Linked DNA regions of Nothobranchius furzeri. The protein of the gene in region 2 interacts with the protein of the main gene of each other region in a pairwise test. Links are inferred from orthologs where the notes say so. Each region holds a gene or a part of one and is shown on either strand. Other genes may lie near its edges. The genes, in order: dazap2, stam2, klhl42, plekhb2, arrdc3a and rnf11b.

Region 1 (4,916 bases), on a different chromosome or scaffold from region 2:
TCTCTAGGTCAGAAGTGGAGTACTGTACCTTTCACAAAGGGCTCTAAAATATTACATTCCATTAGGTGATATCAGTATTGTGGCATGGCCAAGCAGCCTGAAGAGGAAGGCGTATGGAGTAAGGGAGGGTCTGGGGAATCATCTGGGACGGGGGTACGGTTTAGGCATAAACAAGGAGGGGAGTAGCTGCTGTTACCAGATGGTATAACCTCCACTGGATCCGCCCAGGAAGAAGTTGTTCTTGCGCTGTGTCATGACAACATTGGCACCCTGCATGGCAGCCAGCTGAGCTGCATTAGGGGGGTGTCCAGGGGGTGGGGGCTAGAGAAGAGGAGAAACGAGCTCAGTGGCAGGTTAAGAGTTACAAAGGCCTTGGCTACAGGTTAAGTCACTCCGTACTCACTGGGATGGAAACACTGCTGCCAGCTGTGAAACGAGCTCCAGCATCAAAGCCACCGTCCACCATCACTGTTGAACCAGGGGGGTAAACAGCTCCCATGTGATAGTAAGCCATGGGAACGTTCTGGCCCACCGGACCAACGGGCATGTGTGGCTGCATGGGCATGTACACCTGAGCACCAGGGTAGGGAGAGGACATCTGAGGCACCTGACCAGGCACCTGAGGTGGAAGCACGTATCTGGGCTGGTATATCTGCATACAAAGACACGAGAAACAGATTTAATTGAAGAATACTAAAAAAAAAAAAAAAGCTAATCTAGGCTTGACCTGTAGATGCAAGCGTTACCTCAGAATATGCAGGTGGTGTGTCTGAGTATGGAGGTGCCTGAGGAGACATTTGCATAGCAGGAGGGTATACAGGTGCAGAGCTCTGCTGAGGGTACACAGCCTGCTGTGGGTATGAGCCTGCAAAACAACATTTCACTTTTAAACACGCACAGCTGAAGAATTATGGGATGAGAACCGTTTCATTATTACTAGGGATGTAAGAAAATATCGATATGGCAATATATCGTGATATTTTTCGCAGCAATATTATATCGATATTCAAAAGCTGTGTATCAGAAATATCGATATGGCAATATATCGCGATATTTTTCCAGCAATATTATATCGATATTCAAAAGCCGCATATAGGAAATATCGATATGGCAATATATCGTGATATTTTTCCCTGTGATTATTACATTGATATTCAAAAGCCGTGTATCTAATTCTTGAAAGAATGCAAACATGCAAACATTTGTGTATTTTCTTTTCGTTTTGTGCAATTCAATCGCCACCCGCTAGTTGGCAGCAGTGTGCAACGGGTTTTGTTTCCACCATTGAACTGTAAATCCCTCCATCATGGTTCAGATACCTCATGTTAAACATGTTACATATCAGTTTTGACTGTTTATTGAACATGCTTATAATAAATTCAGTAAAAAATAGCTTGTAACGTCTGACTGAATGTATCGCAATATATCAGGATACATCGTATCGTCTCCCCTGTATCGTGATATGTATCGTATCGCCAGAATTACAAAAATACACATCCCTGATTATTACTAATGACTTTGACTACTAACATTAAGCTGCAAGTACTTCTTCTCAATCATCATCATCATCATAAATAAACTGATGCTGCTTCTGAGTGGAGATGGGAGGGAGCTGATTACATTTACAGCTAAATACATGAAATTATTACTGATGTGAACGCAACTACTGAGTGGTACACGTTACAGAAAATCCCAATGTCTTGTATACTGAAGCTAACGTTGGTCTTTTTCGGGTACAACTTTGAACGTTTCTACATTTTACAGACAAAAGAACAAAAACCAGATTTTGACACAAAGTGTCTTTAGGTCCAACATTTGGCGGCAGTAAAAGAAAGAACAATGTTTAAATATTGATGGAAACATGTTATTTAATATCATCAGGGGGGATTTATTTAAGCAACTGAAACTGTTGTGCATAATTATAACAAACTATGTGATGACTGTAGCAAGTCTGTCACTGCCAAGAGAGTTTCTAGTTTTGTTTTGAGTGCATTGTATGGCAAACAATACCAGGAAACTAGACATAATCACTTTTCTCAGCCCAGACAGTATAAGCAAAGGGTAAAAATGTATTACTTGTAAAAACACAAGTGAACGGATTAGAAATTAATAAAATGTAAATGGAAGATTTTATTATAAAGCCGAATCTGATTAACACAACGCACAAAAGCCTGGTGGTTAGTAAACAAATGTGAATTTTACATTTTCTTTGTCTTTCCAACATGACAAATCGACCATCGCGCATTACAGTTTGAATAAAATGTCTGCTTCTATTTTAGCTTTAGTGAAACAATTAATTCAGTAAGAAAAATATCATGAAATGTCATTAGCATTAGCCACGAACAAAGATGTCATGCTACAAAAAGACAATCTAAGCTCAAATAAGACAAACAAAAGAAGAAATAAACAACCTGGTGCATTTTTGCGCCGAACAGGTCTAAAAACATAAATGTAACCGGGATGTTCTTTGTTAACAAGAACTCCCCCCCTCCCCAACAAAAACAGGAAAGCCATGTCAGATTTGCTTTTATAATCACGTTAGCTTGCTGGAACACATCTGACCGGCCCGTTTTGGTCAAATAACAAAATGTGAAACTAAATTCGGACATCCGACGTTAGCAATATCCAAGACAGCTTGGTTCGGAGTGTGCGTCAGTTTATTGTTATGTACGTAGCTTCAGTTGGCCACAACGCGAGCTCCTCGTCTTTCCTTACAACGCCAACGTCAAGTAACGAGTAGCTAGCTGGAAAATGAAACACACGACGGAGAAATACCTTTGTTATTCATTGTTGTGGACTGATTCGGAGGCTGAGGAACATCAGATTAAACGGCGCTTTGTGTATCTTGTCTCGGCCTTATAATAGCTTACGGCTTGACACTTCCTTGTTTCTCAGCTTCTTGTTGTTGTGGAAGTGGTTACGTCACCCGTTCTTTATCTGCGGTCGGACGCACGCTCAGTTTCACCTGCACGCGCGCGCCCCCTTCTGGAGGAAATGAGATTTGTTTTTAAAGGAATATGAAAAGCACAAAAAACCCTAAATATTAGCTAAACGTAAAATGAAATTAATACTTAAGTGCGTACTACAATCAGTGTTGGGCAAGTTACTTCAATACTGTAATGCATTATCTATTACTTGTTACCCTCATTTTAAAGTAATTCATTACATTACAATATTACTGATTTTAAAATGTAAGGCATTAAACTACTTTTGAACTACTTTAAGTTACTTTCAACAATACAACTTCAATATGAATCTGGTAATCTGACGCTCAGTGAGCTCATGACATATATGTGGAAAGTGATGTGGTGTCTGAGCAAGCCCCCACAATGCAAGAGCAAGTCTATGGAAACCCATTGTCCATATATGTATGTCGATGTGTCTGAGCTAGCTAGGGTTGCTGTTAAAAACAGTCAGATATAATAACAGTGCTTTAAAATTATTGTTTATTAAATAAAAGCAACAACAATCTGTACTCTCAGCACGCTGCCATCTTATATTAACTGAGCATGGTGGGGGCTCCAAGCCTATATTTGCCTTGGTCCCCAAATGCCTTGATATGGCCCTGGATGTGGGACTGACTTCTGGGGTGATCTGATTCTATCACATGTATAAATATTAAATGCTTATATATTATTGCTTTTCACTGGTAAAAATGTGTATTGGGGATAAATCTACCTACTTTTTTCTTTTGAAGCACTTTGTTTTGTTTTCTTGATTTTATTTGAATAATTTCCTGCCCTTTTTCTCTCTAACCTTCCTGCATGCTGCATGTTTTCTCCGTCTTCCAGAAAAACTGTTCCCTAAATTTCTTACTTTCTAACTAATCAGCCAAAGGGATCTACCAAACCCACAAAAAAATAAAATAAACATTTTTTTAAAAAAAGCTTAATATTCGTTGCGCTCCAGCAGCAATAAGTTGAAATCACCGGGGCACAGATTATGAAGTCAGCTGAAAAGTACATGAAGTACCAGAGAATATGGACTGATATAAACGATCGCACACGAATTACTTTGTTTTGGTCAGAGGCGTGTCCAGGGAGTGGCCTGGGGTAGCACATGCCACCCTTGGAATCTGATTGGCCACCCCAGGTGCCATCACACTAATTTACCTTTAAATAGGCTTTTCATTGTCCACAAAAGGCTTGGGGGTAAAACAAAAAAAGCATAACCATTGGTGCCACCCATGCACAAAGTTGTCCCTCAACTGGGCCACCCCATTTTAAAAGATATGGACACGCCACTGGTTTTGGTGGAGCGATTTTGTGAATATAACAGCGGCCGCGCGCAGGACGCAGCTGGAGTATTTGAGCCATTACCGCTGCGTCCTCTCTGCTCATAGAACGCCCGCAAAGCTGAGTCCATAAATGACGTCATATATGTAGATACTGGATCTTTTTTCAGGCTTCCCGCAATTTGAACTGATTCTGGGTTTAAAAAAGCATTGTAATTACCGCGTTACTGACAATTGTACCGAGTAAATGTTTTTCTTTCCCTGTAATGCCTTACTTTAACACATTACAGCAAAAAGCAATGCATTACAGTAATTAATTACTTTTGTACCACGTTACTCCCAACACTGACTACAATATTACGATATAGTTTTTTAATACTTGTTACTGCATGTTCATTGTTTTCAGTAGATTTTGCCTACAGCCTCATGTGGGGGTGGATGATGGTCTGCTGCTGCGAAATGCTCACTCTCAGCTGGACGTGTGAGATTCACTGTATTTTTTTATATTTCCTGTGCTATCAGTGCAACGCAGACGTGTTTGCTGAGTGAGAAACTGCTCATGGGATCAGTTCATCAACATAACAAGTTGCTGATTATCTGACGAGTCTCAGTGTGTTTAACTGAGGAGAGCTCTGATGTGGTGATCTCTGCAGTGGATGTGGATCCTGTCTTCACCTCTGTT
Region 2 (4,836 bases):
AGTTAAAACAAATCAGCTGTGTTCATGATCTAACATACAGGAAACGGGCTGTAACCAGACTGCAGCACCAGGTATGTCAGCTCCGTATCCCAACAGAGGAAGTGGAATATTCTGGCCACAGAGGGCGATAGGATCTGGGTGGCCTTTCATAAACCCTGCAAAGGGTCGTTTAAGCACATGCTGGCGCAAGAAAATGATTTAAAAGCATGACAAACTTGCAAAGTATCCCTTTGTCATCAGTTTATCTCCATTGTGGTTGCTAGGCGATAGGCTGAGGCGAGGGCAGGAATAAAAATGAAGGCTAGCTCACTGGATTTGGACTCACTCTCTTTGATCTAATGGGGCTCTCCACCAGATGCAAAACCTAACAGATGAGTTTTCACCACAACGTCAGCAGAGCGTCTCCTCCTACCAGGACTGTTTCAGACACGCGGTGGCTGCGAACGCGTTCCACGCAGCTAATCTCAAAAGATAATGAAAATCACAGGAGAACTGCAAGATCACATGTGATTTCACCAGATCACATGATAACAAGCTAGGACAAACAGCTACAACGTAGGGCTGGGCGATAGGGCTTAAAATCAATATCACGATATATTGAGGATTTCACCTCGATAATGATAAATGGACGATAACTACAGGTATGTGCAGAAACAAATGTTGTCCACTAGATGGCGCTGTCACATGTATTACATTAAATCACATTTTTACGTGACTTAAGGTGGTACAGCTTCTTAAAAGGCCATGAACGTTGCCAACCTACACACATCTTTTCATTTGTTTATTATCTAATTTACTGAAATGAGAAAAATGATCGATAAAAGTGACAAATTTCGATAAAGATACATTTTCAATTTATTGCACAGCCCTACTGCCACGTTTGACTTCCTGTCTGGACTGATCGGAGCTGCTGAGCATGTTCTGAAACCATAGCATGTAAGACAGATCCAGCAGCACGTAAATTTACCGGAGGCCTCGATGCTACACTACAACGTGTCTGAGGCGTACCGCTGCACGCCTGGGGGAAACACACCCACAGACTAGAACGGTGACCGTTAGCTGTGGACTTCGCTTGGAAGACATTACCCGTCGCTTATGCATCTGATGGAAACCTGGGGTGATAGACAAGCCAACTGCTAGTCTGAGCAGAAAATTTCACACAAATTATTTACTCACCTTAGTTTTCTATTTTCTTAACTTTAAAGCCTAAAAGGCAGAATGAAACTCACGTTGAGAGCCTGCATGGCGACATGAGGCACTTTGTGGTTGACTCGCTTCATTATGGATTTCAGGCCGTCCTTCGGGCTGAACCAGAGGAGATAAACCAGATTAACTCCAGGAAATGGGATTGTTAGCAAACCATATATGTGTGGCATTAGACTCCATTCACTAAATCACTCCAGGAATTATTCAGTGTCTTTGCCCAGCTCACCCATTGGCTGTCGTTCCAATCTTATCGCAGATGTCCATGATGAGCCCCCAGTCATCTGTTGTGTTGTTTTCATTTGTTGCTTTCTCTGGAAATGGTGCATATGGTCAAGTGAGAAAACATGCTCGCTGCCATCATGGCTGCTGGGTTTTGATGCCAGCCACAGCAGGCGAGTGCCACCGGGCTCTTTGGTCACACAATGAAGCACAACCACCTCCCAACAACCTCCCTCAGATGAACATTTGGCACAACAGTCATGACTCCTGAGTCCACAGAGCACCATTGTTTGGTCTAAGCATGCTGCTGCTGGGGTGGGAAAGGCCGGCAAACGAGGAAGTGATGAAGAGAATTTACATTCAGAACAATAAAGATGCATCTAGACTTGGCAGCAGTAATATCACAACTGCTTTGAATAATGTTAGCCACTTTGTGTTGATTTTTAATTCACCTGCACTGAACTGAATAATAATAGTTTCATATTTCACTTTTTACCACATTGTTGTCTGTTGTTTTAAGTCCGTTCATCTGCTGTGGCTTAATGACACAAACTGTTGAGCCACAATTCTGGAACTTTAATATTGTATTCTAAATTTCCTACATTATCATTAACATTTTAATTAAGTCTTAATATTTTATATTGATGATAAAAAAACTCATGTTGGTTTTAAATATTGGTATTATCTCCGTTTAATATTCATTTGAATAGCTCTAAAGCACCAAACTTTATGAAAAGAGCGTAATAAAATATTTCAAATTGATAATGGTTTAACTGGATTCAACCATCCCAGCAGAGCGCAGTTAAAACACAGGCTTAATAAGAAAATGTTTAAGTTGAGCTGAGAACTAATATTACTGTTATTAGTGAGACAAGTATCCCTGAACCACAAAAGCAAACACATGTGGAGAAAAATAAGAATAAACGTGATTCTGAGAATTGAGCCGAATTGCTCCTGAGGTAACAGGGAGTGGAAACAACACATCAGCGATATTTGTTTAATTTCCAGAGATCTACACCTCACTACAACCCCTGCTGGGTTTTTAATACACACTGTTGGGCAATTTGATAAATAAAACCAAAAATATCTAAAATAAAACATGATAAAGCCTTCACAGACCTGCATTTTTTCTGTTTGTTTGGTAAAAATGTACTCCCAATATTATTATTTTTAATGATAATAACAATACAATTTTGAAACAAAAGCATTTTGAGCCAGAAAGTAATCTTTAACATGCTTATGTCCCACTTACCATTTCAGATCATAAAGCACAACATTATATTATTAGAAACGTTTGTAAGAGAAAAATCCATAAACTAGTTTGTGTTGACAAACAACTTGAAATTAAATTAAATTTAATTTAAAATTTGAAATGTAAATTATGACAAATAAATCATCCACCTGTGTCTCAGTTATGAATCTTAATTTATTTAATTGGATTTACGAGTATTTTAAAGTGTACTCGGTTAAAACTAACACATTTAAAGGGCCCTTGCTATTTTTTTAGGAAAAGAGCTAGCTGTTATCATGAGTCAGACTTAAGTTGGTTACAAAACAACGCCCGAAATGACCCTCAGACTAGATAAAAGTTGTTGACAAGAAGTCAACAAAACGTTAAAAAGTGGACAAAACCTGTCAGGGTTGAACGTATTAAAACTGCCAAAGCTGAAATATCGTAACTTTAGAGCTCACTAAGCTACGTTAGCATTAGCTTCTCGTCAGCTGCTCTGAGTCCATGAAAAGACCAACAATAAAACAAGTCACTCACCAACATCTTGATCGAAGGGATTTTGGGAAAATAAAGGCATTTTAGCGACTCAAAAGAAACTAGGCTCCGACAAAGAAGAGTACGCGTGTTATCGAGACTAAACTTAAACAAGCGTTTATTCCTTGTTGTCCATTAAACTTGCACTAGTTGCTCTTCCGGTGTTGTGCCAAAAACGGCACCCCTGTCGTCATAGCTATTTCCCAAATGCCTGTTCGGTTGGGAGGAGAGCCGAGAAACACTAGTAGTAGTACATTGATTTAGTCTGGCTTGCCAGGCTAGAGAAACACTTCAGTAGTTTTGCTAGGAAATATATGAAATATATAAAGTATTTATATAATATAGAATAGAATAAAATAGACTTTATTGGTCCCACAGTGGGGAAATTCACTTCGTACAGCAGCTCCAACACTTATATAAAACTTACATTACTATATATATATATATATATATATATATATATATATATATATATATATATATATATATATATACATACATACATACATACATACATACATACATACATACATACATACATAAAACCTTCGTCCACTAAAAACTACGAATAAAAAAGGAAAAGCTTGTGTTCCAACACTACTATGCAGCAAATGTAAGCTATAAAAAGATACTTTTTAAAATAATTTTTGGATTGAGCCTTAAATCTGATTAAATCGTGGTTTTGTTACAAAGTTGTTTTATTCTTTATAAAAATACATTAAAATGAACCCGTTTTTTTTTCTTTATTTCTGATGTTTTATCAGGAGGCAGTGTAGTGTTGTGCCGTCTTATTTACATATTATAAATGTGTTCAACGTTATCTTTTAAAATACGTATTTATCTTGTCTCAGGAAGTTAAATGTCGTTTTGTTTTCTTTAAAACCAAGTCAATGCAAATGCAAAGTGAAATTGCCAGAAAATTGATGGAGATGGATTTGGAGATTTCTGTATAATAAAAATCATCACAGGAGGACGACAAACGCACAGCAGAAACGTGATTCAAGAGTTACAAGATAGTTCAGCCCCCAAACCCCTGCTTCATCGATGCCTGCTCTTATTTCAAACCGGAAGTTTAAGAAGTTTAGAACCATCTTGTTTTGTGACGACACTTCCTGGTGTAACTCCCGATTGTTTCCTGACTCAGCCTGACGTCCACCGTCGTTTAGGACCGTTAAGGGTTGGAGTCATGTCGGCAGCTGTTCCGGGGACCAGCAAGGCGGCCCACGGTGATGCGGGCTCGAAGAAGAAGAAGGGACCCAGTGCCCTGGCCACGGCCTACCTGGTTATTTACAATGTTGTGATGACAGCTGGGTATGTAATGTGTTTCCTCGTGCTAACGCTGCTGGTGAGCTGGACCGTGTGTGCATTTGCGCTGCATGCAGGTCAGGACCCGAAAATCCTAATAATAATAAAAAAATAAATAAACAATTTGATGCGATAATACATAAGTATTAAAATGCTTAAATATAATTGGAGACATTGTGGTGTTATAATTTCATCCTCGACTTCTTACGGCTTACACAGATTAACATGAGCAACAGACAGCCAGCTGGCATGGACGCCATGGTGTTTACAATCCAGAAACAACAGGAAATACAGCTGGTTATGTTGAGATTCAATTTTATTTTATTTCTTACTAATTGTGC
Region 3 (4,964 bases), on a different chromosome or scaffold from region 2:
GGATGTGAGCCGAGCAGGTCCGGAGCACAGCCCAGGAGTCGGACGTGGGGCAGTAGCGCAGAACGTTGGTGTTCCTGTCTGTCCAACACAGAAAGATGCCACTTTTAGTACAAGATGACATTATCCTGCTTAAGGAGGCCACTGAAGAGGGTTTACTGTGAGATATTAAACTGTCACCACATAAATCCTTTAAAATCTAATAATCCCTATATCAAACACAGCCATCCGACATTAAAATTAAATTAATAACTATGAAAAATGACATTTTTAATTCTTGAACATCTTTACAGGCCATGAGAGCAAAACGGAAGTCATAATACTTAGTCCTGCAGAAGAAATAGCTCTGGTGCTGATATTGACGTTGACCCATTGACCCCCTATGAAAAGAAAATGGTCAGTAATTTGGGGATTAAAATGGACTCCTCACTTAATCTTGACACTCATGTAAATACAGCGGTGAGGTCCTGTTTCTTTAACCTGAAAAGACTATCCAGGATCAGGCCTCTGCTGTCCAGAGCTCATCTGGAGTCTGTGTTGCATGCCTTCGTCCTGTCCCGGCTGGACTACTGCAACGCTCTGTATTCTGGTCTGGCCCAGTGCACGGTTGCACGGCTCCAGTTTGTGCAGAACTCTGTGGCTAGGTTCCTGACAGGTACTAGATGTCGAGAGCACATTACCCCGGTGCTGACTGCTCTGCACTGGCTCCCAGTGCAATATCGAGCTAAGTTTAAAATCTTAACTCTCGTTTATAAGGCCCTCCAGGGCAGTGCCCCCTCATACATTGCTGCACTTTTGCAGAGGTATGCTCCATCTCGGTCTCTTGGCTCAGCCGAGCAGGAACTTCTGGTGGTCCCCCGGTCGAAATATCGATCGAGGGGTTGTCGTGCTTTTTCTGATCTGGCTCCAACTCTGTGGAACGAATTGCCACTGAGCATTAGGCAGGCACCATCCCTTCACGTCTTTAAGTCTCGTTTAAAGACTCATTTTTATCTGATTGCATTTTAGCGCTAGGGTTCTTTGAATTGCCCTGACATTATGGTTTTAATTCTTCTTCTTTTTAACCCAGATGCTTGATTTTATTTTGTCCACCATTTGTTTTTGATCGATTCGTCTTATTTCCGTTATCTCTCTTTATTTGTAATAGTGCTTGCTTGATATTTTATGATTTTATGATTTTATCTTGCTTTTATGCCCATGTACTGGGAATGTTTTTCTTATGATGATGCTGTTCAGCACCTTGGGCTTCCGATAACGTTGTGGAAGGTGCTCTACAAATAAAATTTGATTGATTGATCTTTTCAGGCCGAGTTCTGACAGATTAACGCTCCAAGAGCCGTCAAATATAAATATACCTGCAACCTATTTTAGGGTCATTACTGACAAAGACGTACAAAGTGATATTAATTCAGCCACAACCTCGTGTCAGCAGTAGCTCAGGAGGTTGTTCAGTAAACGGAAGGTTGCCAGTTTGATCCCAGCTCCCACTAGAGAATGCTGCTGTTGTGTCCTTGGGCAAGACACTTAACCTGCCTTGCTGCTGGTGGTGGTCGGAGGGGCCGGTGGCGCCTGTGTTTGGCAGGCCTCGCCTCTGTCAGCTCGCCCCGGGGCAGCTGTGGCTCCTCATCACCAGCGTGTGATTGTGTTGTAAAGTGCCTGGGGGGTTGGGGGGGGGGGGGGGGACCCCAGGAGGGCGCTCTACAACTACATGCCATTTGAAGTGTTTCTACTTTAATTGATTAGACTTACAAAATTACTTTGGATACTGCAGATGAGTGACATAATTTTCATACTTTCTTTCATTCATTCGCTGTTTCAGGAGTACGTGACAACATTCAGCAGGCGACACTAAGCTTCCCACCTCTGGCAGTGTATCCACCCATGACGTAGATCAAACCCCGGCACTCACAGGCCGAGAACTCAGCCAGCGGGTCAGGCATCGAAGACACACACGTCCACCAGTCCTGTTCTGGACTGTAACACTCCACAGTGCCGAGACACTGGCCTCCCACGGCAAACAGCTTCCCTTGCACTGCCAGCAGCTTGAAGTTGGACCTGGATGAGATGACACAGAGGGTGAATGAAACAGGGCAGAAACAACAGTCGGGGACTGTGGGAGGAAAATGTACCTCTTCTGATTGAGCGGAGCCACCTGGTTCCACTCGTTCCTGCAGGGGTTGTAGCAGTGCACAGCAGAGATCTCCTGACTGGTCGTCCTGTACCCCCCCACTATGAACAGGTAGTTGTCCAGGACAGCAGACCCATACCCTCTCACGTTAACCATGTCTGGGGGCAGGTTGTTGGCCAGTGGTTTCCAGCGCTGCTCCACCTCTCCATACCTCAGCATGGACCAGGGCTCGTCCTGATCAGGACCGTCCAGCGACAGACAGGTAAAGTCTCCGATGGCCACCAGGGTGGCGGTCCCTTTCATGCGCATCTCTTTGACCTGGTCCCTGACAGCGGAAAGCAGGCTACTGAACTCAGGCCGCCTCAGCATGGGGTGATAGTAGCAGCTCATGTACTTCAGACAGGCGGTTCGCAGGTCATGAGTACCGTAGACTTCAGAGAGGCTGTAGAGCTCCACGCAGTTGTCCAGCCGGATCTCTGAGGTCAGCAGCTTGAGGATGGAGGTGACTTGTAGAAAGGAGGCGGTCTCTATCAGATCTTCCAGGGTCTCATTGACCACCTGGACTTTGGAGGTGTTGATGAACTCCAGAACCAGCTCCAGGCCCGTAACGCTGAGCCCCTGGAGCTGCACAGAGTCCTCAGTAGACTCCCTCATCCCGGAGTTGTAAAGCGCTCGGAAATAATCGCTTTTCTCGATCAACTTATTTTTGTTCACCTCGTAGGTCCTGTCGTCCACCACGATGGCGATTTGGTCTGAGGACATGTTGGAGACAGCTTCCAGAAAGACTTTACAGTTCACCAGCGCAGGAGCTCCGTGGCCGGGCTATATATGGTCATGTTCAGCCCATAAATCCAAACGGAGCTGCTCCTCTCATCCAGAGAAGCTAATCAGCTAACAAGCTGCTGCACCGACAAACCCGCCAAAGCGGCTCTTTCCTCGGGTTAGCATTCCTCGACAGTTCGGTCGAAAAGTGGATCTAGTTTATAAATATGTCAACTACATGTTGCAGTTTATTTTAGACCTTGATAGCGGCTCTTTTAACAAGAATTTCACAAGACCCTTGTGGGAACGGACTGTCAAATTTCCAGTGTTTTGATTCTGCGCTTCTTCGTGTAAATACGGTTGAGTCGAGCTGCTCATCCGCCCTACTGCCACCTGCAGGTCAGTCCTAGAATGGCGTCTAATCGGATTCATTTTAAAAACTATTTTATTTCATTTCCTGGAAACAAGAATAAACAAACAAAAGAAACAAAATTCACCTATTGTGCACAAAATAAAATAAAATAAAATAATTATATATATATATATATATATAATTTTATTTTGTGCACAAAATATAAAAAATGTATACATAAAATTACTCAAGTAAACCTATAATATTTAAAATTAAGAAATAAAATAGCTTCAGCTGTTCCGAATTATTTTGAAAACGGACAGTCTGAAATGAGTGAAACCAGTAAAATAGTAAATGAATTTAACAGTTTTTTTTCTAATGTGGGACCTGACTTGGCAAAAAACATTCCAAAAAGAACTAATTATAGTACAGGTGCAGGCCCGGAGTGGCTAATCGGGAGGGTCTGGAGAATTCCCGGTGGGCCGCGCGATGTTTGGGCCGCATGGGGCCGGTGCTCTCGTTTTTGTTTTTTATCATTTTATTTTTATTTTTTGGTGCCGGTGTTCAGTCATGGCACTGAGGCCGCCGGGCTGATCACATACGCTCCTCCCGGCTGTCTCTGGCTGGCTCTACCTGCAGGCTGCAGCTCGTTTTTTTTCCCCAGTATGCGCCTGTGCGCACCACGTGACCACGCAGTTGACGGAAAGATGGAAAGTAGAAAGAGCAAGGGTGGCGCGGAGAAGGCAAGAATTAAAAAGAGGAAAGCGTTGGAAACAGATGCAGCCAAGGCCGGATTAACCATATGGGCAACTGGGCAATTGACCAGGGCCCACGAAGGGCCCAGGCCAGCAAGCGCACGAGCAAAATACTGTAGGCATGTCTGTAATCTCCCGCATTATATTAAACTAGGGTGACCGTATGTCCGGTTTTCCCCGGACATGTCCACTTTTCACTCTCTGTCCGGGCGTCCGGACTGCGGGTTCTTGTATTGATGAAAATGTCCGGCTTTTCATCCAGGAGCAGGGATCGAATTATGGGGGAGCTGTATATCTTACACATCCAGGGGAGCCGGAAACAAGTTTTCTATCTATATTACATCATTTATGGACTCTTCTGAGCAGAGAGCACAAAGAGCGGCACAGCGCGTTATTGCGCAGCGATCCAGGCAGCTGCGTCCAGCGCACGGTCCATTCTCAAAGTGGCGCAACCAAAAAACTATAATTAGCACACGATCGTTCATGTCCGCACATATTCTCTATTTTCTGTCTTATTTGTGCCTGAAGCGCTCTGCTGCTGCGCAGCTCATCACCTGTGCTGCGCGGTGCTGCGGTGATTTCACCTCACTGACGCAGCATCGAAAGGCGCACTCCGCTTTGCGGTCAGGAGATCCATTTGATCTGCTCAAAAGTAACTGATGAGGTGAAAAAGTAAGAATCCTGGCAGCAGTTTTTTCTGGAGAGTTTAGAGGAGACGCAGGAAGACGAGAGACAGACAGGACAGGAAATAGTTCAATAAAAACAAGAAAACAAAACTAAGTGTAAAGTAAAAGTAGGTAGATTTATCTCCACTACAAGTTTTTACCAGTATAAAACAATAAGTTATACACATGTCATAGTTATACATCTGATACAATTCAAATCACCTTCAAAACTCAGTCACACACCCAGGGCCGTTTCAAGACATTTTGGGGGCCAAGGCAAAATGACCCCCCCCCCCCACCCACCC
Region 4 (4,632 bases), on a different chromosome or scaffold from region 2:
AATCGATAGGAACCGGAATCAAAACAAGGAATTGGAATAATTCAAAATCAAAGATGCCCAACCCTACTGAAAACCTCAGCTGATTCTGACATGTTGCAATGAATATTTTTGGTATTGAAACAAACGTGCAAATCCTAAGTTCAAAATGGATCATTTCTGACCTTCCTAGTGAAAAAAATAGAATGAATTACAATAACAAACAGGCTTTTAATTATCTCAGAACATCAACAAATCATCCACTTCTTGTTTTGATTACTTTAAGAATTCCCAAACAGAAAATTTACATTAATGAACAAATCAATAAAAGCATTTTCTGAATAACTAAGATTACAAATACAATGTAAAACACATAAAAGTCTCTTTTTTCCAGAAGGAATTTAAGTACTTCTCACCGTCAAAGACATTTGAATGAGATTGAATCTTATTGATCTAATGACACACGGGATTCCTAGTTTCCTTCATTTGTGACAAACTCTCGGTAATAACGTGATTATAACTGGAGTCAGAGTTCAAACAACTATGGTTACACAATTAAAGCTTATGGAGATGTATTCAATGCAACATTATTATTACTTTGCGCAATAGCAAAATAACTTTCAGTGGCAGAATAATAGTGTGTAACAACATCAGCTGCAGATGTGTGAGGATTTATAGTAACACAAGCTGAAAAGCACGTCAAACACCCCGCCTCGGCTGGAGTCTAAACAGTTACGGGAAACGCGGTTTTCAAAGCGATGCGCATACATCGAAGAGGTTGCTGCAAACATACAAACTGACAGAAAGTGATTTCAAATAAGTCAAAGATAAACAATATGCTCTTTATCAATAAAGTATTACTGTTGTAAATAAAAAAATAAGTTGATATTTTAGTAATAAGTGAAACACGGGAGGTTTATTACCGTGTTTATCAATGACAGTTTATTTCATCTTTACCCATCTACTTATCTCGCTGCGACAGCGAGTTAGCTGGAAAGCTAAAGTTTGCTAATGTAACAACTACTTGTCTCTACTTTTGAGCAAACTATTCGATAAAAATCAACGTAAAGCACAAAAACATTTTTGACAAGTTATTATCGATCTCGGTGCATTATCAGATACTTACTGTCCAAATAATGCTCCAAGTAAATTGCCGTCGCCATTTCTGGCTATGTATTTAGCTGCTGCGTTACTCTGCTGCTTCTGTGGTCACGGCTTCACGGGGCGCTGTTGCGTTTGTTTTACTATCCTGAGTTTGCCGCCGGGCGATGGCTAAAATGTTGGCTCCCGCCTTTCTATTTCCCCAGACCAAAATTAAACATTTTTGTTCCCAGGCAAACAGCCTAATTTCGTATTTGGTCACTTATATCTTTCTACACTCTTAACAATTCTAAAACTCAGTTCTTGTGCCAATATTTGTCCCCCACCTCTCACCATTTTCTAAATTCGATTTTATTTAAAGGTGAATTATTTGATGTTTAAAAAAACACTTTCACCGTCAATAAACAAATAAAACCACACATATTTGCATTGCCAAGAGAAGGGCAAATATTTCACGTGTGTGTGCACAGTGAGTGTGAGCTGTAACCAAGCGCACCCTTGCTGCTTTTTTGCTAGCACTTTCCACAGCTGTCAGCTGAGCGGTTACGTCATTCAAAACAACACACCTCCCTCTCCAGAGACGGGCCACTTGTGAAGATGCTCGGTGGGGCGGAGTTAACATTGACTGAAACATAACGGCCCTCCGGTCTAAACGCTGTAGTCACTTTGCTAACGGTCAGGCCTTTTCATCTCGAAGTAAGGCATCGACCTTTTGCATATCACTTCCGCGTTTTAATTATCACGAAAAAGACCGTTTGGGACAAACAGTGGAATAAAAGTAAGTATGTAAACCACAAAATAAGCTTGTTGTCTGACAGAATTGTACTGTTTTCTCACTTTGTGAACATTTTAAACTCATAAGTAGCCATGCTAGTTCACTAGCTATCACCTAACATCTGGAAACTAGCTAGCAAAAAATGCTATTTGTTTATTTCATTTAAACAATGTGTACTTATTTCATCCCATTTCATCACCTGCCATTGAGACCCATACAGTTTATGTAAATTAGAATTAAATGATTTGTATTAAATGCAGTACTATAAATAAACATAATGGCACAACATCTGAACTTTAAACACTGAACAGGAACTCTATTAAAGTCACACGGTAACTTCTTGTGCTAGCAGATCAAACTCATTTGAGCTAAGTCTGCTAATAGTGATCACTTTCTAAAAGACTTTAATTTGCCCTCCACGTGAGGCTGTTTTCTTCTGAAGGAGACTGGTCAGTTATGTTAGCAGTCATGAGGTTTGTTTTAGATGCACCACACCCAGTCATCATCTCCAGCTCTAACTGACTCACGTTGTTTAGGGGTTGCAGATGGCTATGGTAAAGAGTGGCTGGCTTCATAGACAAAGTGAGTAATTGTGTTTCTGTGTATTCAACTGTCCCTCAGTGGAAAAAAAAGGTCTACATCAAGAAATCTTGTCAAACAAGTGTTATATTTAACTTTTAGGTACCATATTACGCCGGTGGAAAAGAAACTGGTTTGATTTGTGGGCTGATGGCCGGCTCGTCTTCTACAATGATCAACAACGGCGCGACATGGAGGATGACATTCACATGAGAGTCCACTGCATCAACATCCGCAACTCTGGAGCATGCCAGGGTTTGTTTTCTTTCCACACATTTTTGCGTAAAAATCACACTTGCAGAATGTTATACACTTTTTTTGTTTAAAAAAAATCCTTCTCAACTTTTGTCCTTCCTCCCAGAACTGAACCCACCAGAGGGAAAGATACGTGATGCATTGTTCCAGATAGTGTGCAGAGATGGACGTGTCATCAGCCTGTGTGCAGACAGTGCAGATGATGCCCTGTAAGCACATTTATTTATTTATTTATTTTAACTTCTTTGCTGATAAAAGTGGATGCACAGAAATGAAATATGTTTACATTCTGAGAAAAACATAATTTATATTCTCAAACATTTTTTGTTGCAGTGCATGGACCATGGCACTGCAGGATGCCAGGATTAATACGGTGAGGTTTTGCTGCATCTGTGGGGTTCTGTATTTGTTTTGTTTGGTTAAATTCCTGAGCTAAAACTTTAAAAAGCATTTGAGTTACTACAAGTTTAAAACATTAAGCTTTAAGCTGAAGACGTGTTTTGTAATGTCTCCATCAGGGAGCCGATCATTCTCTGCTTTCATTTGTTCAGAAGCAATTGAACTCTTTTTTTTTTGTTATTGGTCGCTTGTAGAAGTCTCATTTAATTTGTTGATCATGTAGGTGGTTGCTACTCCTCAGATTGGTTTTGCAGAAGTGATTGCATCTGCTCCTCCCCCCTACTCCGAATATACTCACCCACAGGTACAACTGTTTGTAAATATGATGGGAAAATACAACAAATATCTATTATGTCATAATTCATCATTTTGAAAAGAGAATTATTTAAAAAAAAAACAGGAAACCTATTAGTTGAAAGACGGAGTTTGCTGCCACCTGCTGGTGTAGTTAATGGAGTACCCAAATGCATTTCTAACAAGTATTCGTGAATGTGTAACGATATATTTCTTTCTTTTTCCCAGGTTTATGCTCCAGGCCCATATGGAGACTACAGTGCTCCACCTCCTCGTCCTACACAGATGGTTTACTCTGCAGATGGCCAAGCCTATGCTGTTGCATATCCGTACCAGTACCAAGGTGAGTAACGGCACATGTTGTAAGCATGTAAATGGTAAAAATGGCCTGTATTTGATATAGCGCCTTCTAGAGTCCTGGAACCCCCCAAGGCGCTTTACAACACAATCAGTCATTCACCCATTCACACACACATTCACACGCTGGTGGGGATGAGCTACAATGTAGCCACAGCTGCCCTGGGACGCACTGACAGAGGCGAGGCTGCCGAGCACTGGCGCCACCGGTCCCTCCGACCACCACCAGCAGGCAACGTGGGTTAAGTGTCTTGCCCAAGGACACAACGACAGCGACAGACTGAGCGGGGCTCGAACCTGCAACCTTCTGATTGCGGGGCGAGCTCTTAACTCCTGTGCCACCGTCGCCCCATGTGACTGAAACAGGGGTCAGCAACTTTTACAAATGGCTATTTTTCCCCTCAGTTCACCAGAATAAAACTTGTTTAGAGTCGTATTTGTTGCAGGACCTTTTGAAAAACAAGAACATTTATCATTTTTGATTAATATCTAGGATTAGGGCCACTGAAATCTTTTTTTCTTCCAATTCTGGGAATAATGTGATAATTCGAAGAGAAGTCAGGATTCAGAGGTTAAAATCAGTATTCTCACTTTTTTCCTGAGATAAAAGTCTAAAACCTTTTTTTCCTTTTACTTAAATATCTACTTTATTAATCATCATCAGAGACTGGTGATGTTACCTCTTCCTCTGACCCATCCCCGTGGGGAGTGGTGAGCTGCAGTTGTGGCTGTGCTCAGGAACTATCTGGTGGTTTAACCCCCCAATCCAACCGCTTAAAGCTGCATGTCAAGCAGGGAGGCATTTGGTCCCATTTTTAAAGACTTTGGTTTTAACCCCGATCTCCCCGTCCCAGGACGGACGCTCTACCACTAAGCCACTGAAAAGGTATTAGTTG
Region 5 (4,712 bases), on a different chromosome or scaffold from region 2:
GGGGGGGTTGTTTCGTGTCCATGGGGACAAAGAATGAAACTGATATTTAGAAGGAACTGAAATAAAATAAAACTCAAACAAAATCCATCGTTCATTAACCAATTCATGCATAAAAGTATAGTACCACGAATTAATAAATTATAAACATTGCTAGAAGAGTGTCCCATCTTTTTAATTCAGCGGCAAAGTGGACACTAGAGGGCAGCATGCAACTAGGCATTAAACGTTTGTTTTTTTATTTATTTTTTTAATATTTTGCTGAGCTGGCACTGCAGTCATCCCACCTGTATCTATTGACATCCTAACGTTTAAGGTGCATGTCAATGTGTCCTTTGTATAGATAAAGTAAACAGCTTTCCAGATGTGTTTTATGTAATATGGGAAAAAAACATTAATGAATGCACTAAATGGCATTACATATGGTGTGTCAGGGAATCTATGAAGTTTATTGGATTTAATTGGAGGTAAATGGCATTTGTTAATACTAAATTATAAAATAAAAAATCCCCGTCAGGACAATAATGCCTGATTACCTTTCGGGCAGCATCCCCATACTGGCTGATTAAAAGTAAAGAACATTGGTATTGTTGCAGATCAACAGGTGATTCTGCTGCAGCCCATAGTGGGAACATTGGTTGCCACTAGGTGGCGTTTTGAGTCACGAGTTGTTTTTCTGAAAACTGGGAGCTCAACACAATGAGAAAGAGTCTTCTCAACATACACGGATCAGAATCAGTTAAATAACAATCAAAATGGGTCAGGTATATGAGTTACAACCACAGATGATCTGTTTTTAGTTTTATAATTAATATGCATGTTCTATACATCTACTCTGAACAGCCCTATGCCGTGTGCATCATGCAAAATGCAGCTCTTTGGATTTTACAATGACATTGCTCTGATTATGTAAAAGCGTTGTGTAAAGTGTTCACAATAAGCCTGCAGGCTGTGGCTCCAAAATAAAAACAAAATTCACACGTTTTGTGTGATTTTAAAAAATACTTACTCAAATATTGAGGTGGACTATGTACAGACTGGACTAAATCTTATTATTATATTGATAATTGATATTTTTAATGTTACAATTCGCCCCAAAAGCCTCACCCAGGACTATTGCAAATATTTCTTTATGCGGTGTTTCAGGTGCTTTTACCATACTTGCAGGGCGGCTGGATGAATGTGAGCTTTGCCTCACACTGCTCTGCCTGCCTTGTTCCAGAAGGCGAGAAGGTGGGGGCTGTGCAGCCACGCGCAGGCGCAGAAGGTTGTTTTTCACACAGCTTCTGGTTTAAAGTGAGCTGAGCTCCGGGGGTTTCCTTGTCTGTGACTGAGACCATCAAGGAGACAGGCAGATGATAACAGCATCCATTGCTGGTTATCAGCCTTCACAAAGCTCAATGAACTGCTCACAAAGAAGCCACTGATCGTGCCCGCTGCTTCTTGCAGGGCAGAGATACTGATCAGTGTCTCCAACCCCGTTTTTCTTATGAGATTATTTTTTCATTAACTCCTTTTTTTAGAGCTCGAGAAGATCTCTTTCCGCCATGGTGCTAGGAAAGGTAAAGAGCTTCATAGTGAGCTACGACTGTTTTAATGACAGCAACGTCCCCGTCTTCTCCAGCGGGGACTCCGTCTCAGGGAGGGTGATCGTCGAAGTCACCGGAGAAATCCGGGTGAAATCTCTCAAAATCCACGCAAAAGGAATAGCAAAAGTTCGTTGGACTGAGTCAAGAAACGCTGGATCCAACACTGCCTACACCCAGAACTACACAGAAGAAGTGGAATACCTGAACTACAAAGATATTTTAATTGGACATGAAAGAGGTAAGAAGTTTTGTAGAAATTGTGATGCTCCCCTGGTTGGGGATCAGGTTCGCTGAAAGATATAGAGTTGCAGGGCTCAATAACAGGATAATTGGTTCGATTAAAGACTAAATAAAGACCTGTCACTTTATTGCCTTATTTCAGACGAGATGTTCGGTGGGTATTTAGTTGTCTTTTAAAATCTCCATCGTTGCTTGTTTTTGTGGTCAGAATGAATGACAGCTGCTCACGTATCTTGTGTTTTTCATGGCATTTGAGGCGCATAGGGAGGATTTATCTCATTTAAATACATATTGGAATTGAGTTGATTCTGTATTTTATAGCTATGAAGCTTTGTTTAGAAATTTCATCGCTAAACAACGATGAAGTTTCCACCTATTGTTCAAAGCGGTTCAATCCTGTTCCGAAAACTGGTTTGCGAGGGGGCGGGGGGAAAGCCAGAGCGCACCCTGGCTCGTGTGTGATTGGTTAAGATGCTAGTGTGTGGCCAATGACATCATTCCCCTGCAGAGTGGCAGAAAAAACTGCAACTTTTTAATCAATGTAAAACACCTGCAGGACACGAAAATTGGTGGTTTTACTGTAAATTTTAAGGAATTGTGAGTTGCAACCAGGATGTGCTGGACATTTGAGATTTCTTTGCTCTTAATTTTTAATTAAAATCAAGAGTTTTTTTTTTCTTATACCAGTGAATGCAGTAAAGCTTTTATTTGCATGTATTCGGTTAGGTCTGTTAGCATGGATTATGTTAAGCTAACATGTCCGAGACGTGGTGATATTGTCGCTGAACGATTTAATATTTATTAGCGTTGGGAACACGTGTTTAAATAAGTGGGTAGCAGCTCCTTTAGTCTTACGGGACCACAGAGCTTGTCAGACGCATTTATGTATGTGGTTGTTGTGACTGCGGCGTCGCGGAGTGAATACGTAATGCCGAGGGAAGCTGCTCACACCGGTTTAGTCCGGTCTTCTCCTGCTGGAGTCTGTCTCTTGACTGACAGCTCCGCACTTGTTTACCACACGGCTTCTGCTAGGGGGAGGGTGTGCTGAGCTGGCAAGGGCTGCGCACACGTCCTTATCCGCCACATATTTACCTTTTCATGTAAAATGAGCAATATTAAATAAAAAATTCATAATTCCCCCCCCAAAATAAGTGAGAAGGCATCGCTTCGCTTTGCCCCATAAAATTACTTGTGCATTAGCATCACTCACGTTCAGTTTCTGATTTCTCCAAATTTTACTCTGCTGTTTTTTAAAATCTCAATACACTTAATTTCTAACAGACAAGATCAATTGTAAAACCCGTTTATTCTCTTTTTGTCTCCCCCACCCTGTGTTCTTTGATATGACTTACAGATGCCTTCGTAGAGCATTTTGTCCAGGTATGGTATACATGTGTTTGGAATATTGTCCTCCTTGTTTTTCAGACGATGACAACTCGGAGGAAGGACTCACTACAATCCATGCAGGAAGGCATGAGTATGCATTCAGCCTCGAGCTTCCACAGACGTAGGTGTCCCAATACGAAACTAGAATCAGAGAAAAAGTTATTTAGATTTGAGAACTTGACCGTTTTTCTCCTTTCTGCCCTTCTTTTACCGTCACCTGCAGACCTCTGGCTACCTCTTTTGAAGGAAAACATGGCAGTGTGCGCTACTGGGTGAAGGCAGAGCTCCACAGGCCATGGCTCCTGCCCATGAAGACTAAGAAGGAATTTACAGTCTTTGAGCACATTGACATCAACACTCCGTTATTGCTGGTAAGAAGTCATAGGAATGATGAAATGCATAGCTTTTATGTTTGTAAACTAAGAAAAAATGTTTATAAGATGTTTTTTCTCTACTTTTTCAGTCGCCTCAGGCCGGCACAGCAGACAAGACGCTTTGCTGTTGGTTCTGCACCTCAGGTCCAATTTCCCTAAGTGCCAAAATTGAAAGGAAGGGATACACCCCAGGTGAGGATAAGTGAATAAACGATAAGGTTGTTACTCATCTGTTTACCAGATGAGCCAATGGGATGATCACATTCTGCAGGATTCTCTACTTGTTACTGATTACTCATAATTAGGGTTCCTATCACTAGAGAAAAATATTAACTTCCATTATGTCTTATATTTGTGTAGGCGAGTCTATCCAGATATTTGCCGAGATCGAGAACTGCTCGTCCCGCGTGGTGGTGCCAAAGGCGGCCATCTACCAGACACAGACCTTCTATGCCAAAGGAAAGGTGAAGGAGGTCAAGCAACTGGTGGCCAACCTGCGGGGGGAGTCCTTGTCCTCTGGCAAAACGGAGACCTGGAATGGCAAAATGCTGAAGATCCCACCTGTGTCCCCCTCAATCCTGGACTGCAGCATCATCAGAGTGGAGTACTCCCTCATGGTGAGTTTGGTCTTTCTCTCACACACTCGATGAACATTTAGGTCAGGTGCCCGTTTTTGTTGTTTGTATTTGTTTTGAGACGACGGGCATACAAGGGTTTCTGCTTTCATCAGAATCAATATTTCCTTGTAAGCCAATATCCCGGTAAAGGTGCCTGGCTGACTCGGCTTGCATAACCAAATCTGGACCTGGGATTGTACCAGGTGTTATGTCCGCATGCTGCTAAGCGCATTAGCCCAGAATAATGGAGGCAACACCTGCCCTGAGGGTACTAATAACCTCTTTACCCTTCACATAGACAGATAACTGATTTGAACACACTGACCCACATGACCAGTTTACCTAAATATTGGTTTGCAGATTGGAATGCACAGCTCTGTAAACTCCCATTTTCAAGATCTAAATTGCTGTCATGTCCTCGTGTTTGTGCTCAGGTATATGTCGACATACCAGGGGCAATAAACTTGTCCCTGAACCTGCCCCTGGTTATCGGAACCATCCCTCTTCAC
Region 6 (4,841 bases), on a different chromosome or scaffold from region 2:
TTGTAAGACGATAAAATGTGACATTAAGAACCTCTGATGCATTGTTCTGAGAGTCAAAAAGTGATAAAAGCTTATTATATGAAGTTCAGAAAATTTGCTGGTAAAAAAAAAATCTCCCAAATAAACGTGAAGTGGTCATTCCAGCGCTATGGCATGCTACATTTCTATTCAAAATAGCAAAATAAAAATGCCCCAGAGCAAGACCGTGAGAAAGATAAAAGATGATAAGAGAATGATCAATGTCAATCACTCTGTGAAATTCTGGCAGTAAACAATGGCAGTTTCTCAATATTCAAGTATGCTGGTATGTTCTTGTGTACTTGACAAGTATATTCTTGGCAAGCACACCTGAAAATCTGTTCTACTGAGTACGGGAGGATGAGGATGGCATTTGGAACAGAACCGTACTCCGTTGTGTCATGACAAAAACAACCGGACATAAAAATGGAAGTCTAGTTTCTCTCTAAAACACAAAATAACAATAAATACATTATATTTGTATAACACTTGGTCCACTTTTGATCAAAAACATAAAATACCTACTTTCCCAATTGTTAAATGAAGAAAAAAAGTTTCTTTTTCATCTAAACAGAGCTATTTTGGGCAACGCTACTTTTATTTTAATAGTTGGTCACCTAATTTGCATTTTAAGACATTATGAAGAGTCTGGAAAATAAAAAAATTCACACTGCGAGTTTTACAGGTTACACACAATTATTTACAATAACAGACAACTCTATATTTTTTTCTTTATTTGTATTTCTGATACACTACAGTTATAAGCTTTCTCCTCTGTTGTTTGTGTGTAATGGTTTGCAACGCAATGCATTAAGCAATACTTTGTTGTCCCAAGTCCGCAGAAGGAAGCTTTGATGCATCCTCGATACAATGGGCAGAGCAAGAACACATCCGGGAACTCTTGTGTACTTGCATACAGGAGTTCTTAGGATTGGAATTGTACTTGGGCCATCACTGATGACGTTTCACAAGGATGGGAGTACACAAGTTCAGACGAGTATGCAAAACAAGAAACGGCAGTGCAGTATAGCATATTTTGCTGTCTCAAGTCCGCAGAAAGATGCATTAATGTATCCTTGATACAATAGACGGAGGAAGAACACATCTGGGAACTTTGAGTAAACTTACCAAGATATGTATTTACTTACAACATAGGCTCATTCAAACATAACATAATAATGCTGTGAACATGTATAGATACTTTATCATACATTCTCACCAGCCTGTTACTCAAAATGCACCAAACTGATGCTTTTCACTATAAAATGTCCAATGTTTTCTACCGGGGGCATGCCCATGGACCCCCCTAGAGTAGTTTAATACTAGTCTAAGGATGACTTGCAATGATGACAAATCAAATCAGCATTTATTGTTCATAAAGGTCAAATGTATCAGTGATAGTGTACACAGTGAGAAGATGCAGTTTGCATATTATTTAATCAGTGTATCAGGATGCGCACACACACAAGATGGCTCACTTATTTGGATATCATTACATTTTTGTGATCCATTTATTATTATTCTCTATAGTTTAATGTAACATAAAAGTTTGTCCTTTTCTTTTAATAACTACTGCAAACCAATCCCTTAAATTAATAGAATTTGTTTATTTTGAATGAAAACAACAGGATTGTGTCACTTTTCTCCATGAAAGCATTTGTTGTTCTGACACTGCATTTATTCTCTTGAGCTTTAACAATTCCAATCTTAAAGCCTACAGATAAGACCTCACTTGACCTAGAAACAAGCATTCTAAACCAGTGTCCTAAAATAACACACACACACAATACTTTACAGCAAATCTAATATTTACAGTTACGACATGACCTGGTCTATGTTTGGATGATCTAATTTAGGGAGTAAGGACAACAGACAAGAACAAAGTTGCTGCCTGAAGGTGTTCAGTCAGAGAAGCAGGAGAGAAGTCAGCCTTTTCTTAAAATACACACACGCTACAGCCTGTTTCAAGACTGAGAATTAAAGCTTGTGTTGTCATTTTCAGCTCATAACAGATGTTTGCTTCTTTTTCCTTCACATCATCAACCCAAACCACAGGGTTTAGTGAGTTTGAATGAATTCACTCTCCAGGTGATATTTAAGACACCAGTGCTGCAGAAATTACAGTGAAGATATTATGCACAGAGAATGACCTTAAGATGTAAGAAAGAGGATTATTTACAGTATCATGAAAGGACTGAGTCAGTGGGTAGGGTTACTGTCTACGGACGATGTCAGATAATCTGTATACAGCTGATTCCGGTTCTCAAAATGTTCGTCCAACATTTATTTTCTGACTTTGTCATCAGGCAGACAATGCAAACAAATTGTAAAGAGGACCAAAATGTCTAAACAACACACAGTGTGTGAAGTTTAGTTTTAATGAATCAAACCACAACAGCTAGTTTAGTTATGATGTCAATAGATACCTGATAGGGGGGCGGTGGCTCCTGATCTGGGTCAGCACCGTCTCCATAGCTGGCTCGGTCCGACTGCGATTCGTGTAGCAGAGAAATATCATCCGAGGTCGGAGATTTTAAACAGTTTCCCATCTCCCTCCTCTTCTATCAAACTCTACCTTCTAACCGCGTCGCTCTACCAGCAGCGGATTTCACTGCTCACTTCCACAGAAAATGTCAGTAAATAAGAAGACGTCGAGAGGACGTTTTTCCATTCACAGCTGATGAAGCTCCTCTCCCAGACGACGGGAGGGCTGGCTACTTCAACAAAAACAAAACATCACTAAGACCAGCAGCTAGCCACACAAAAAGCTAGCCTGCTAACACTAGCTAGCACTCTGAGGGGAACATCTAAACGTCTGGGCGCAGAATCGCGGCTTTAACATAATTTTATATCAGCAGAAGGAAGAAAGCGAGCAAAATAACTGCTTTCTTCATTTAACGTGACACAGCTTTCCACGGTTCTCCAGCCTGAGTCCGATCTAGCTGCCAGGGACTTTCCAAAGCAGCTGCTGAACAATGACAAAAGCTGGGTGACGTACAACGTGGGGGACGGCTCCTTTAAACAACTGACCAATCAGCTTTCAGTTTCGTTCACGAAGTTCTTGTTGACAGCCAATCAGATGGTTGGTCACGTTGCCTTACATTGAAAACGTAAACACACAACGTTAATCTGCAAATGAGTCATGTTCCTACCAAAAGAACGATTTCTTTGCAGATCGGAATTGTCCTCTGAGTTTTATATGATAAAACCATTCATCAGTTGTGTTATTGAAGCTCTCGGTTTAATGAGATGTGTTCCATGGCGGCCTCTGGTCTGCAAAGCCATTTTTTCATTTGTTAAATTAGAATCCAAAACCAAATTAATGCAAACAACCTGTGTCATTTTTGTTCTGTGTGCTGAAAAATTATTGAACTTAAATGACGTGGAAAGGAAAGAATACAACACAAAAGTATATATTTCATTATAAATCACAACTAAAATGTAAATGGAAGTCATCCTGCTTGGTGGGTAACCATGCCCAATACACAATACAGAACGTGTAAACACAAAATTTTGAATGCTGAATTTCTTCCATTTATACAAGTGTAAAAGCTAAAAGGATGGGGAAAATTATGATTAGTTTGCAGAATCAACACATTCTAGAGTCGCTGCAGTTGCAACAATTCTAATAATACATTTCCTCCACCAATAAATATTAGACACTGACTTCAGACAATTAAACTGTACCCCAGACCTCTCTCAGTTATAAATAAATCAGCAGGACTTGTATCCCAACTCTTGAGGCACCATGTGAGTTCTCTGAACTGTCAGGTTTCAGGTGCTCAGCCTTTTCAATCACCCACTCGCCAATCGTTTATGAGGAAAGCTGTATTTGTTCATCTGCAGATAACTATTTGACACAGGATGTGGTTTTACATTCAAGTCCTTCTGTTGGTAGCTCTAGCAACAGGATAGCAGGTAGAGAAACAGCAAAAGAAGTCGACTGAAGTCTACACAAGCTGTGAAAACTTGATGGCTGCTGGGGGTTAAGAGTTTCTTCACCCACTAAAGATACAGCCGGCAGTCAAGCTCGCAGTCCTACGCCGCTTGCTGTGAATGGCCTGTTTGTTCAAGCTCAAGTATTGCTGGAGCCCGTCCCACACACCAGGAGGAGAAAAGGAGGGAGTCTGCCTTTTCTAAAAGACACATTCATCTGTCCTCTCAAAACAGGACAATTCATGTAAAAGATGCCATTTACAGTAAATAAATGTAAAGACCAACTCTCCCAGGCCGTTTGACATCCAAGAGTTGACAGTTTCATGGGCGATACACAAAGCTCGGTGCAAAAACCAAAACATAAGCTGTGAATACAGGGTTATATTCAGTAAGATGCTCCCTCGATTCTGACAAACACAACAATCATGTAGTGTAAACACATGATCCCACATTCTGAATTAAAACAGAACAAGCTGGTTTTGGAAAGTGAGACATTTCCAAAACCTACATTAACATTACAGTGGAACAGGTTTATACCCGGTACTTAAATAGTGCTGCTGTTCGTGTGTCATGTATCTGAGGCTTTATTTAACTCCACCAGGTTCAGGTCTAGTACCCAGCACTGAGCATATCACTTGGGACAAAGCACTGAATATGTCACAAAAATTTAACCTTGTTTCTGCTCAAATGCAACCAGTGTGAAAGAGACAAAAGGCATGCTGGAAGCAGTGTTTCATAAACACATGAACACACATTTCTCCACTCAATTTGTTAAAAAAAATATGTGTGAGAAAGTGACTAACTGTAATGTGTCTCTGGAAGAGGGCGTGGCAAAGTGAACAAGGCCAGCAAAGGCACACAAAGCTGCAGAGGTCCATAACAAGGGC

Evidence for each region.
Region 1: the proteins of stam2 (region 2) and dazap2 interact in binary tests that used the Homo sapiens proteins (3 or more experiments, as listed by UniProt). The two-hybrid records come from large-scale screens. The link is inferred for Nothobranchius furzeri from reciprocal best matches to the Homo sapiens genes STAM2 and DAZAP2.
Region 3: the proteins of stam2 (region 2) and klhl42 interact in binary tests that used the Homo sapiens proteins (3 or more experiments, as listed by UniProt). The two-hybrid records come from large-scale screens. The link is inferred for Nothobranchius furzeri from reciprocal best matches to the Homo sapiens genes STAM2 and KLHL42.
Region 4: the proteins of stam2 (region 2) and plekhb2 interact in binary tests that used the Homo sapiens proteins (3 or more experiments, as listed by UniProt). The two-hybrid records come from large-scale screens. The link is inferred for Nothobranchius furzeri from reciprocal best matches to the Homo sapiens genes STAM2 and PLEKHB2.
Region 5: the proteins of stam2 (region 2) and arrdc3a interact in binary tests that used the Homo sapiens proteins (3 or more experiments, as listed by UniProt). The two-hybrid records come from large-scale screens. The link is inferred for Nothobranchius furzeri from reciprocal best matches to the Homo sapiens genes STAM2 and ARRDC3.
Region 6: the proteins of stam2 (region 2) and rnf11b interact in binary tests that used the Homo sapiens proteins (3 or more experiments, as listed by UniProt). The link is inferred for Nothobranchius furzeri from reciprocal best matches to the Homo sapiens genes STAM2 and RNF11.

What each region holds. Positions count from the first base shown.
Region 1 is NC_091755.1:37,293,890-37,298,805, forward strand, and holds the start of dazap2 (DAZ-associated protein 2), read right to left. Parts: upstream 2,940-4,916; 5' UTR 2,789-2,939; coding exon 2,776-2,788; intron 866-2,775; coding exon 747-865; intron 653-746; coding exon 404-652; intron 322-403; coding exon 193-321; 3' UTR 1-192. UniProt on the Homo sapiens protein: In unstressed cells, promotes SIAH1-mediated polyubiquitination and degradation of the serine/threonine-protein kinase HIPK2, probably by acting as a loading factor that potentiates complex formation between HIPK2 and ubiquitin ligase SIAH1.
Region 2 is NC_091754.1:32,011,277-32,016,112, reverse strand, and holds the start of stam2 (signal transducing adapter molecule 2), read right to left. Parts: upstream 3,377-4,836; 5' UTR 3,234-3,376; coding exon 3,194-3,233; intron 1,518-3,193; coding exon 1,433-1,517; intron 1,306-1,432; coding exon 1,230-1,305; intron 1-1,229. Other genes in the region: hacd2 (very-long-chain (3R)-3-hydroxyacyl-CoA dehydratase 2), read left to right, coding at 4,377-4,501.
Region 3 is NC_091741.1:34,811,616-34,816,579, forward strand, and holds the start of klhl42 (kelch-like protein 42), read right to left. Parts: upstream 3,094-4,964; 5' UTR 2,888-3,093; coding exon 2,127-2,887; intron 2,053-2,126; coding exon 1,859-2,052; intron 79-1,858; coding exon 1-78. UniProt on the Homo sapiens protein: Substrate-specific adapter of a BCR (BTB-CUL3-RBX1) E3 ubiquitin-protein ligase complex required for mitotic progression and cytokinesis. The BCR(KLHL42) E3 ubiquitin ligase complex mediates the ubiquitination and subsequent degradation of KATNA1.
Region 4 is NC_091748.1:41,161,480-41,166,111, reverse strand, and holds the start of plekhb2 (pleckstrin homology domain-containing family B member 2), read left to right. Parts: upstream 1-1,715; 5' UTR 1,716-1,855; intron 1,856-2,388; 5' UTR 2,389-2,397; coding exon 2,398-2,434; intron 2,435-2,533; coding exon 2,534-2,686; intron 2,687-2,792; coding exon 2,793-2,895; intron 2,896-3,019; coding exon 3,020-3,059; intron 3,060-3,308; coding exon 3,309-3,389; intron 3,390-3,607; coding exon 3,608-3,722; intron 3,723-4,632. Other genes in the region: ing5a (inhibitor of growth protein 5a), read right to left, coding at 1,103-1,139. UniProt on the Homo sapiens protein: Involved in retrograde transport of recycling endosomes.
Region 5 is NC_091757.1:41,570,681-41,575,392, reverse strand, and holds the start of arrdc3a (arrestin domain-containing protein 3a), read left to right. Parts: upstream 1-1,333; 5' UTR 1,334-1,544; coding exon 1,545-1,824; intron 1,825-3,180; exon of another isoform or gene 3,181-3,208; coding exon of another isoform or gene 3,209-3,251; coding exon 3,252-3,333; intron 3,334-3,435; coding exon 3,436-3,583; intron 3,584-3,675; coding exon 3,676-3,778; intron 3,779-3,946; coding exon 3,947-4,203; intron 4,204-4,637; coding exon 4,638-4,712. UniProt on the Homo sapiens protein: Adapter protein that plays a role in regulating cell-surface expression of adrenergic receptors and probably also other G protein-coupled receptors.
Region 6 is NC_091748.1:56,841,994-56,846,834, forward strand, and holds the start of rnf11b (RING finger protein 11b), read right to left. Parts: upstream 3,199-4,841; 5' UTR 2,568-3,198; coding exon 2,445-2,567; intron 1-2,444. UniProt on the Homo sapiens protein: Essential component of a ubiquitin-editing protein complex, comprising also TNFAIP3, ITCH and TAX1BP1, that ensures the transient nature of inflammatory signaling pathways. Promotes the association of TNFAIP3 to RIPK1 after TNF stimulation.